Macaca fascicularis: one gene and its partner. The protein of the gene in region 2 purifies or fractionates together with the protein of the main gene of each other region. This does not show direct contact. Links are inferred from orthologs where the notes say so. Each region holds a gene or a part of one and is shown on either strand. Other genes may lie near its edges.

Evidence for each region.
Region 1: the proteins of TOLLIP (region 2) and CSTF1 purify together in Homo sapiens (co-immunoprecipitation; 3 studies listed by BioGRID and IntAct, with this or other methods). This does not show direct contact. The link is inferred for Macaca fascicularis from reciprocal best matches to the Homo sapiens genes TOLLIP and CSTF1.

Annotation. Positions count from the first base shown.
Region 1 is NC_088384.1:112,427,020-112,431,380, reverse strand, and holds the start of CSTF1 (cleavage stimulation factor subunit 1), read right to left. Parts: upstream 3,026-4,361; 5' UTR 2,850-3,025; intron 2,752-2,849; exon of another isoform or gene 2,675-2,751; intron 1-2,674. UniProt on the Homo sapiens protein: One of the multiple factors required for polyadenylation and 3'-end cleavage of mammalian pre-mRNAs. May be responsible for the interaction of CSTF with other factors to form a stable complex on the pre-mRNA.
Region 2 is NC_088388.1:1,223,155-1,226,961, reverse strand, and holds part of TOLLIP (toll-interacting protein), read right to left. Parts: intron 3,115-3,807; coding exon 2,962-3,114; intron 1,406-2,961; coding exon 1,315-1,405; intron 1-1,314. UniProt on the Homo sapiens protein: Component of the signaling pathway of IL-1 and Toll-like receptors. Inhibits cell activation by microbial products. Recruits IRAK1 to the IL-1 receptor complex. Inhibits IRAK1 phosphorylation and kinase activity.

The DNA of each region.
Region 1 (4,361 bases), on a different chromosome or scaffold from region 2:
GGTGCATATAGAGCCCTGAGCACAGTGCCTGGCATACAGAAATTATTCAGGTCATGTTAGCCAATATTTACGGTACAATCCCTCATCGACTTTTCTTCCCCCACCAAACTACCTACCTATGATTTTTGTTCTTTATTGCTATCCCAGAATCTTCCATTTCTTTTGTTAATTAAACATTGACTAGCACCTGCAACATGCAAGATAGCTGCTGTTTTGTCAAGGCCTAGACTGCTGGTTCCACTAGCTGAGCTGTATGTTTACTAATATCTTTTATGTTCATTCTCAAAACCTGTTTTAAGGCAACTGAGCTTGTGACTGTAATTCTATAATCTAATTCGACAGTAAATGAAAATATGAAGGAAAAAAAGCAACTGTACTATAAAAACTCAACAGAGTTAAATGCGTTAGAAAGGCTCGAAGGTGAGCTGCCCAATAAAATCCTGCCAATCAAGGTCAAAACAATAAAAATGAAAAACACAGTAAAAATCTGGAAGGACTGTGCATGCACTGATTTACAAGTGTCTAAGTTTTCCTTTAGTCTTAAGAGACAAAAAAAACTGTAAATGGTTTCTGGCTTATTCAAAAAAGAACTCCAACTGTTGAACATGATAATCTGCTTACTAAAAATCAATGCCTTTATGTATGTGTATGTTTGAACCAATATTAAAAGGCTACAGGTGTCTGGGGACAGCAATAAAGAATAAAAGCGACCTCAGAGCCTGATTTCTTTTTTCTTTTTTTTCTTTTTGAGATGGAGTCTCGTTCTGTCGCCCAGGCTGGAGGGCAGTGGCCCAGTCTCGGCTCACTGCAACCTCTGCCTCCCAGGTTCAAGCTATTCTCCTGCCTCAGCCTCCCAAGTAGCTGGGACTACAGGCACGTGCCACCACGCCTGGCTAATTTTCGTATTTTTAGTAGAGACGGGGTTTCACAATATTGGCCAGGCTGGTCTTGAACTCCTGACCTTGTGATCTGCCTGCCTCAGCCTCCCAAAGTGCTGGAATTATGGGCATGAGCCACTGCGCCTGGCCCAGAGTCTATTTCTTATACACTGTACGACACTGATGGTGTTAATAATAACCAACAACATTAAGCACTTCCTGCATGCCAGATACAGTCATGCTAAGTACTTTGTAAGCATCAGTTCACTGAATAAAATCATTCAATGTATTCAAGTATCTGAAGTAGTACATGAACATAATAAGTCTATGCTTGAGTAGAAAATCCTGGGACACAATAAAGATGATGAAATGGGTTCAAGGAGGTCAGAACACCTACTCAAGGTAAAAAGTGGCTGAGTTACTTATCCAAGGTTAAAAGCACACCAGAATTGCCAACTCCAGAGCCCTGAGCTTAACCACTGAAGGAGTTCAGGAAATGCCAGCCCAAAGCAAGATGCTTTGGCGGGCTGATTACTTTGAACTGAGGGCACTTGGAGAACAGCAGGCGGGAAGAGGCTTTCCCTGTGCTTTCCTTACCTGCCTAAAGTCTGACCCTCCAAAAATACCTCAATTGTCACGAATCCTTATTAACCAGGGAAGATTCACTTAGATCATAGGAACCAGGGAAGATTAACTCCGATCACGAGAGGAGATTAGAGGTTGACACCACCCAGAGGATCACCTATTCTGTCTGCATTAACAAACTTGATTCACCATACATTTCCTCCGTTCACCCTCCCAAAACTTGTGTTACAGCTGCTGCTTACCATCCTCCCACCCGCCCCCAACCCTCTATTCATTCCTTTCAGTAGCTCAGGATGCCATGTAAGCTTTAATCATCTGACTTCAACTTCTTAGTCTCGTATTTTGTGGGACTCCTGTACATAATTAAATATCGTTTTTCTCCTATGGACAATGTTTAGTGACCCGAAAAAAATGGGAGATTCTTAAGTACCAACAAAGAATGAAAATCACAAGTGGGTAGTCTGGCAAAGAAAAGTTGATGAGAGATTCTACTGTTAATGTCGTGCTAATATGACTTGAATAATTTCCGTATGCCAGTTCAATGCTTTACATGCACATCCTGTTTACCCTGCAGTAATCTGTTAATTTGTCTTATGGTAATTTAACTCTTAGTCTTAATAAGGTACCTAGAAGGATGGAGGGAAGCCATTTTTGGCTCCCCTACACCACTATTCTATCCGGTCTCTTCACTTCTGAGCACATGTCGGGTGTACAAATATATATATACACACACACACATTTGTGTGTATATATGTATACATGTATGTGTATATATATATGTGTGTGTATATATATATTTTATGGTGGCCCAGTCCTAACTTCTCAACTCCCACAGAACGTTCACTCGCCAGGTAAACAGAAGCCTAATTATCCCCAATTTGCAGGTGAGCACACGGAGACACGAGGACAAGAACCCGATCCAGGACCGGTTACATCGCAGTTGGAAAGGCTAGAACACAGACGCCCCCTCACTATATGCGCCGCGACCATCTGGATGCAGAGGCGAACTAAGGACTGGGTGGGAATGGAAGCGAGGCCCTTTGAGGAAGAGGAGGGGGTGCAGGCCAAGCCGGGCAACTTAGGAAGCACAAAGTAGAGGCGCATGCCATCTTGCTAACTCTGGACTCTTCCGGTCTCGCCCCAGTTGTTTCTGTGGTTTTCGCTAAACGCCCCAGCCGACCGCACCAGCCACTCTCCCCGTGCCCCAGTACCAGCTGGTCCGGTTCTCTCGGTATCCCGCTCTCTCCTGGAAAAATGGAGGCGCGAATCCTGCCCAATCGACCGCTCCGAGCGCACATTCACTGCGCACGCTGAAAGGGCGCCAAGCCGACCGCTGCGCTATCGATCGGTCGCACTCTCGCTTGCTTTTCTCGCCATCTTACTTACTGGCACGTTCAAAAGGTTAGTTCACCCCCTCGGACTTTATCTCCAATGCGACAAGCTTGACGTCAAGGGGCTGCTGCCTCACCGATAAATGGCCGACCCCGGAGAGTACCCTGGGGCTGGCACTGCCACGGGTCTGGCTGGCCGTTGGCTCCGCCACTTCCGGGGTCTCAAGGAGCAAGTGCGCCTGCGCGCGGTGTGCGCCTTAAACGCGACTCAAGGCGTCGGGTTTGTTGTCAACCAATCACAAGGCAGCCTCGCTCGAGTGCAGGCCAATCGGCTTTCTGGCTAGAGGGTTTAACTCCTATTTAAAAAGAAGAACCTTTGAATTCTAACGGCTGAGCTCTTGGAAGACTCGGGTCCTTGGGTCGCAGGTGGGAGCCGACGGGTGGGTAGACCGTGGGGGATATCTCAGTGGCGACGAGGGCGGCGGGGACAAGGGGCGGCCGGCCGGAGTGGCGGAGCGTCAAGTCCCCTCTCGGTTCCTTCGTCCCTGGGTGTCCTTGGCGCTACCCTGTGCCCGCCCAGTGCCTTTGCATCCGCTCTTGGGCACCGAGGCGCCCTGTAAGACACTGCTTGTTACTTATTACAGCTAGAGGTAGAAGGGGTTTGTTGAATGGTGTTGACACGCGCGGGAGGGGTGGGTGAGCGTCAGATTGGATTTTGTTCTCGGAGATCACCTGGGTAAGAAAAGCACAGAAGGTCGCTGCTGTGTTGGAGTTCACGTTCTAGTGGGTAGGGAGTCAGACGGTAAGCGTACAGAGAACTTGCAACTGGGGTGGGTGTTATAAGGGAAAAGCAGGAGTGCGGTTTAACGGGGGCCGCTTTAGACAGAATAGCCTAGGAAGGCCCTTGTCCTGGCTGGATGAGTGGGTGAATTTATGAATGAGAACCTCCTTGCAGAGGCCTTCCCGGTCCGTACTTCTCAGACCGTAGACCTTGAAGTAGTTATATCGGGATAACTTGGAGAGCCTTGTTAAAAATATAGCTCCACCGAGAGCCCGGAAAATCAGAATCTCTGAGGGATAGGACCCAGGTGTCTAGTTATTAGCAAACTCTCCAGATGATTCTTTGATTTCATTGAGAACTAGGGATGCAGACCGGTGCATGCAAATCGTCTGGGGATGTTAAAATGCAGAATCTGTTTTCCTAGACCTGGGGTTGGGCCTCAGAGTCTCCATTTCTAAGATCCCTCCGGCTGAGGTAGACGTAGCCACTGTCGTTAACTCGTAATGTCTCTTCCTCTTCCTTAACCTTCCTTGTCCCTTGAATTAAACGTTTTTCAGCAACCTACTCAATTCGTCCTTCCCTTCATCTCTGCAGACATGCACAGGTCTGAAGGAGGAAGGAATAAACCCGTATAAACCTCCTGTGCTATTAGCCTAACAGCTTTTCTATTCACAGTGGTAGGATTTCTGGTGTGAACTGAATAGATCCTGTGAAAGTCATCTGGTTGCAGATTAGAGTCACCTGAAGGGCAGTCTTATTGGCGTTGTCTCCAGAATTCTGGATTAG
Region 2 (3,807 bases):
GTTTCACCGTGTTGGTCAGGATGGTCTCGATCTCCCGACCTCGTGATCTGCCTGCCTCAGTCTCCCACAGTGCTGGGATTACAGGCGTGAGCCGCCGCTCCTGGCCCAGGCTGGTGGTTTTCTAAGACACTGGACACCATAGAGGCCCTGCTCAGACACGGGCTCTGCTCTTTCCTCTGGAGAAAGGCAGCCCTGGCACCTGCGCAGGCGGCTTTACTTGGAAACAGAGTCTCGATGTGAGCAAGTGAGGGCAGGGCCATGCTGTTCTCATAAGCAGTTTCGTCAGAGAATGTCCTGAACACCAGTGGACAGACCAGAGTCTCCCAGCGCCGTCCCCTCCTTCCCACCACCAGGCTGGGTTTCAGGCCACATCAGGTGGGTCTAGGGCAAGGTCCTGACTCCCAAGGTGGCCTTTCTGCATCTGTACGGGATGCTGCCAGGACTGGGGTGCGGACCAGGCCTCTCCACTCCAGCTGGGCTGGACACCAGCACCGGCCTGACAGCACTCTCGCCTGCCAGCAGCTCTGTCCCACCCCAACCCCAAAGCAGCCCCTGAGCACAAGCAGCCGGGGCCTCACGCAGGCCCCGAGACCCTCCCCCAACACCACCACGCATCCCCAGCGCCCTGCCCGCAACTTGGCCACTTCCATGGCCTGGTCCCCCAGTGCAGAGGGACCCACGCTCTGCCAGACACCAGCTCCCCGGAATGAGAGGCCACCTTGGGTGGAGAACCAGGGTGGCCACAGGCTCCCCCCGAGCACCTCCTCAGGGGCTGCTGTCCCCCCGCCTGCTGAGGACGCTGGGCCCGTCCATGGTGGGGGCTGGCCTTGCACCAGCTGCTACGACAGCGACAGCTGGACCAAAAATGCAACAGCGTGAAAAGCGACATTCCCGCTTGGTGTTGCTGCAGCCACCGGCTGCTCACTCTTAACAGTGACACACGACAACGGCTGCAACAGCGCAGTGCAGAGCATGCATCGCCCGACAGGGGTGTGAGGTTCTCCTGCAGAGAGCTGGGCACGACGAGGTTTCAGTCACATTTCCACACCTCTGAAAATTTCAACTCATCTCATTTCTGCCAACAATTAGAAAAAAAACCAATTCTATTCTCTAGATATGCAAACAAAATTCAAACGTAATCCTTGGCTCCCTAGCCTAGAAGGATCTGCGTGCAGTCGGCACGTCTGCAGGATTCTAGAACGGATGGCGTCCCCCCACCGGCGCTCTAAGCCCTGTTCCCTTGTCCTGCGCCCGCCCTAGGCCCTGGGGTTTCTACCAGGGGGGAGGCACCCAGGGAGGAGGGAGCACACGCACCTGTGATGGGCACGTAGCCGACGCCCTGCTGGTACACCGTCGGCATCAGGACCACAGGCTGGGGTGGCATCACCATGGCAGCTGGCAGCAGCTGGAACACAGCGGAGATGGTCCCGGGGTCAGGAAGGAACATCTACCCATCAGAACCTCAGGAATCGCCCTCCCCATGCTAGCCCCGAACCCAGCTGTGAGCCCTGAGTGCACAGGGGACGCCGGGGCCCACTCCCACCCCCGCACCACCTCCTCACGTCCAGGAGGTGACATGGCTCAGGCTTACAGACCCCCCGCACCACCTCCTCACGTCCAGGAGGTGACATGGCTCAGGCTTACAGACCCCCCGCGCCACCTCCTCACGTCCAGGAGGTGACATGGCTCAGGCTTACAGACCCCCCGCGCCACCTCCTCACGTCCAGGAGGTGACATGGCTCAGGCTTACAGACCCCCCGCGCCACCTCCTCACGTCCAGGAGGTGACATGGCTCAGGCTTACAGACCCCCCGCTAACTGGGATGTGACGGAGAGACGATGGTGTCAGGAGGGACATCCCAGTGTAGGTGTCAAGGGGGCCTGGGGGGAACCACACTGCACAGCTGTGGTGTCTGAGTTTAAAACTGTCAACTTGAGATAAGTCACTGCACTGCTGTCGTCTCTGAGTTGAAAACTGTCACCTGCAGGTAAAGTCACTGGGGCGTCATGACGGTTCTGCGTATGAAAGCATCGGTTAAAGCTGCGTCCTGAGACATTTACACGTGGTCACTCATGGCTGGGACTTGCTTTAAAATATCCCGGCGTTAACAAAAAGGGAGTGGGAGGAGCCAAGATGGCCCAGAAGAGCGGCTCCCTGCTGCGCCCTCTCCACTGTCACATGGGCCTTGCATTTCCCACAGCACCATTTTTCAGCAACAACCTAAAAATTCCCTGAGTGATAATACAGAGAATCCCTGAGTGATAATACAGAGAATCCCTGAGTGATAACACAGAGAAGACGGTAGGAGTTCTGCGTCCTGGAGCCTCTAACTGGCCCTCCCGATGCCCCCAGGAGCTGCAGGTGTCCTGAGGATATAGACAGCTGGGAGCCAGGGCAGCTGACGTGCTGGCCCCACGGCCAGGCCTCGACTTCCTGACCCCGAGCGCGGCAGCCCCCAGGCTTCCCCCACATCTCCAGAGATGCCCTTCCACACCCTGGCCAGTGCCTGCCCTGTTGGGAGGAGCCTGGTGTCCCATAGGGCCCAGGGCTGCATCTCAGACCCTGGAGGGCTGCTCAGCTGGACCCTAAGGGCAGAGCTTGGAAGGGCTGTGAGGGACCTCCGAGGACACAGGGGCCTGCAGTGGAGACCACCACAAAGGGTGGGCCCATCTTAGGAACACAAACAACCCCGATGCTCTTTCCCCAGACAGAATCGATGGGCAGGAGCAGTGGGCGGGGCAGCTCCTCTCTGCCACCAAACCACCCAGGGCCCCTTCCCTCTGTCCTCAGAACGCTGAGCCCTGCTGTTTGACGGACTCAGTGCCTCCAGGAAAGAGACCAGGGTGTCTGCGGGGTGGCACAGCCCCGATGTGTCCCAACATACCCTGACCCGCCCCACCCCAAGGCCTCTGACGCGTCCCGCCCCTCCCCGATGCCCCTGATACCAGGCCGGCAGCTCACCGCGTAGGACATGACGAGGTTGATCATGCCCTCCTTGTCGTCCCCCTGCCTCCCGCTCAGGCTGTACCACTTGTCCTCCACCTTGCCTTGCCTCAGGGACTCGGGGATGGTGATGTGGGTCCACGCGATGCGGTCGTCCATGGAGAAGGCTCTCTGGGGGAGAAGAGGGAGATGCCTCAGGCATTAGGGAAGGGGCCGCCCTTTCCCTGCGGTCGCACCATCATGGGCCCGTCTCGAGTTCCCATCTCATCGGTGGAACAAGGCTCCCACCTGCACCCACACCCCATCAATGAGACCCCTCAGGCAGCACGGGCTTCACGGTCGTTTATCAACGATCCTTCCCTCTCTCCACCAGGATAGGCCAGGGCCAGGGCTAGGTCTGGGGCTGGGGAAAGTGAGGGTCCTGGGCTGCTATCCTCCTCCAGTTCCAATTCAGGGACACTAGTTGCTCCTCCCCAGCCCTCCGGGCCCCATCCTTGCTCCACCGGCTGCCACCTCCCAAGCCCCAGAGCAGCCGGGGCACAGGCTGGAGAGGACATGGGGTCTGCCTCCCACAGCTGCCTCTGTACTTCCCATGCGCTCTCCACTCTTCTGAGGGCCAGGGAGGGGAAAGCAGGTCGGGATGGGGAGAGAAAAGCCAGGAGGAAAAGGCAGGGCCCAGGCAGGGAGGACTGGCCATTTGCTGGCCTGGCTGCCCCACAATGCTCCCTAGCCCCCAACCGTGCTCTAGCCTCCCAATGGCACAGGTGCGAGGTGCCGGGACCACGCGGAGCAGCAGCCTTGCCACATCCCCCTCTGACCTTCTGACTCTGCCTCAGAAGCGCTGCAGGTGCAGCCATGGACAGG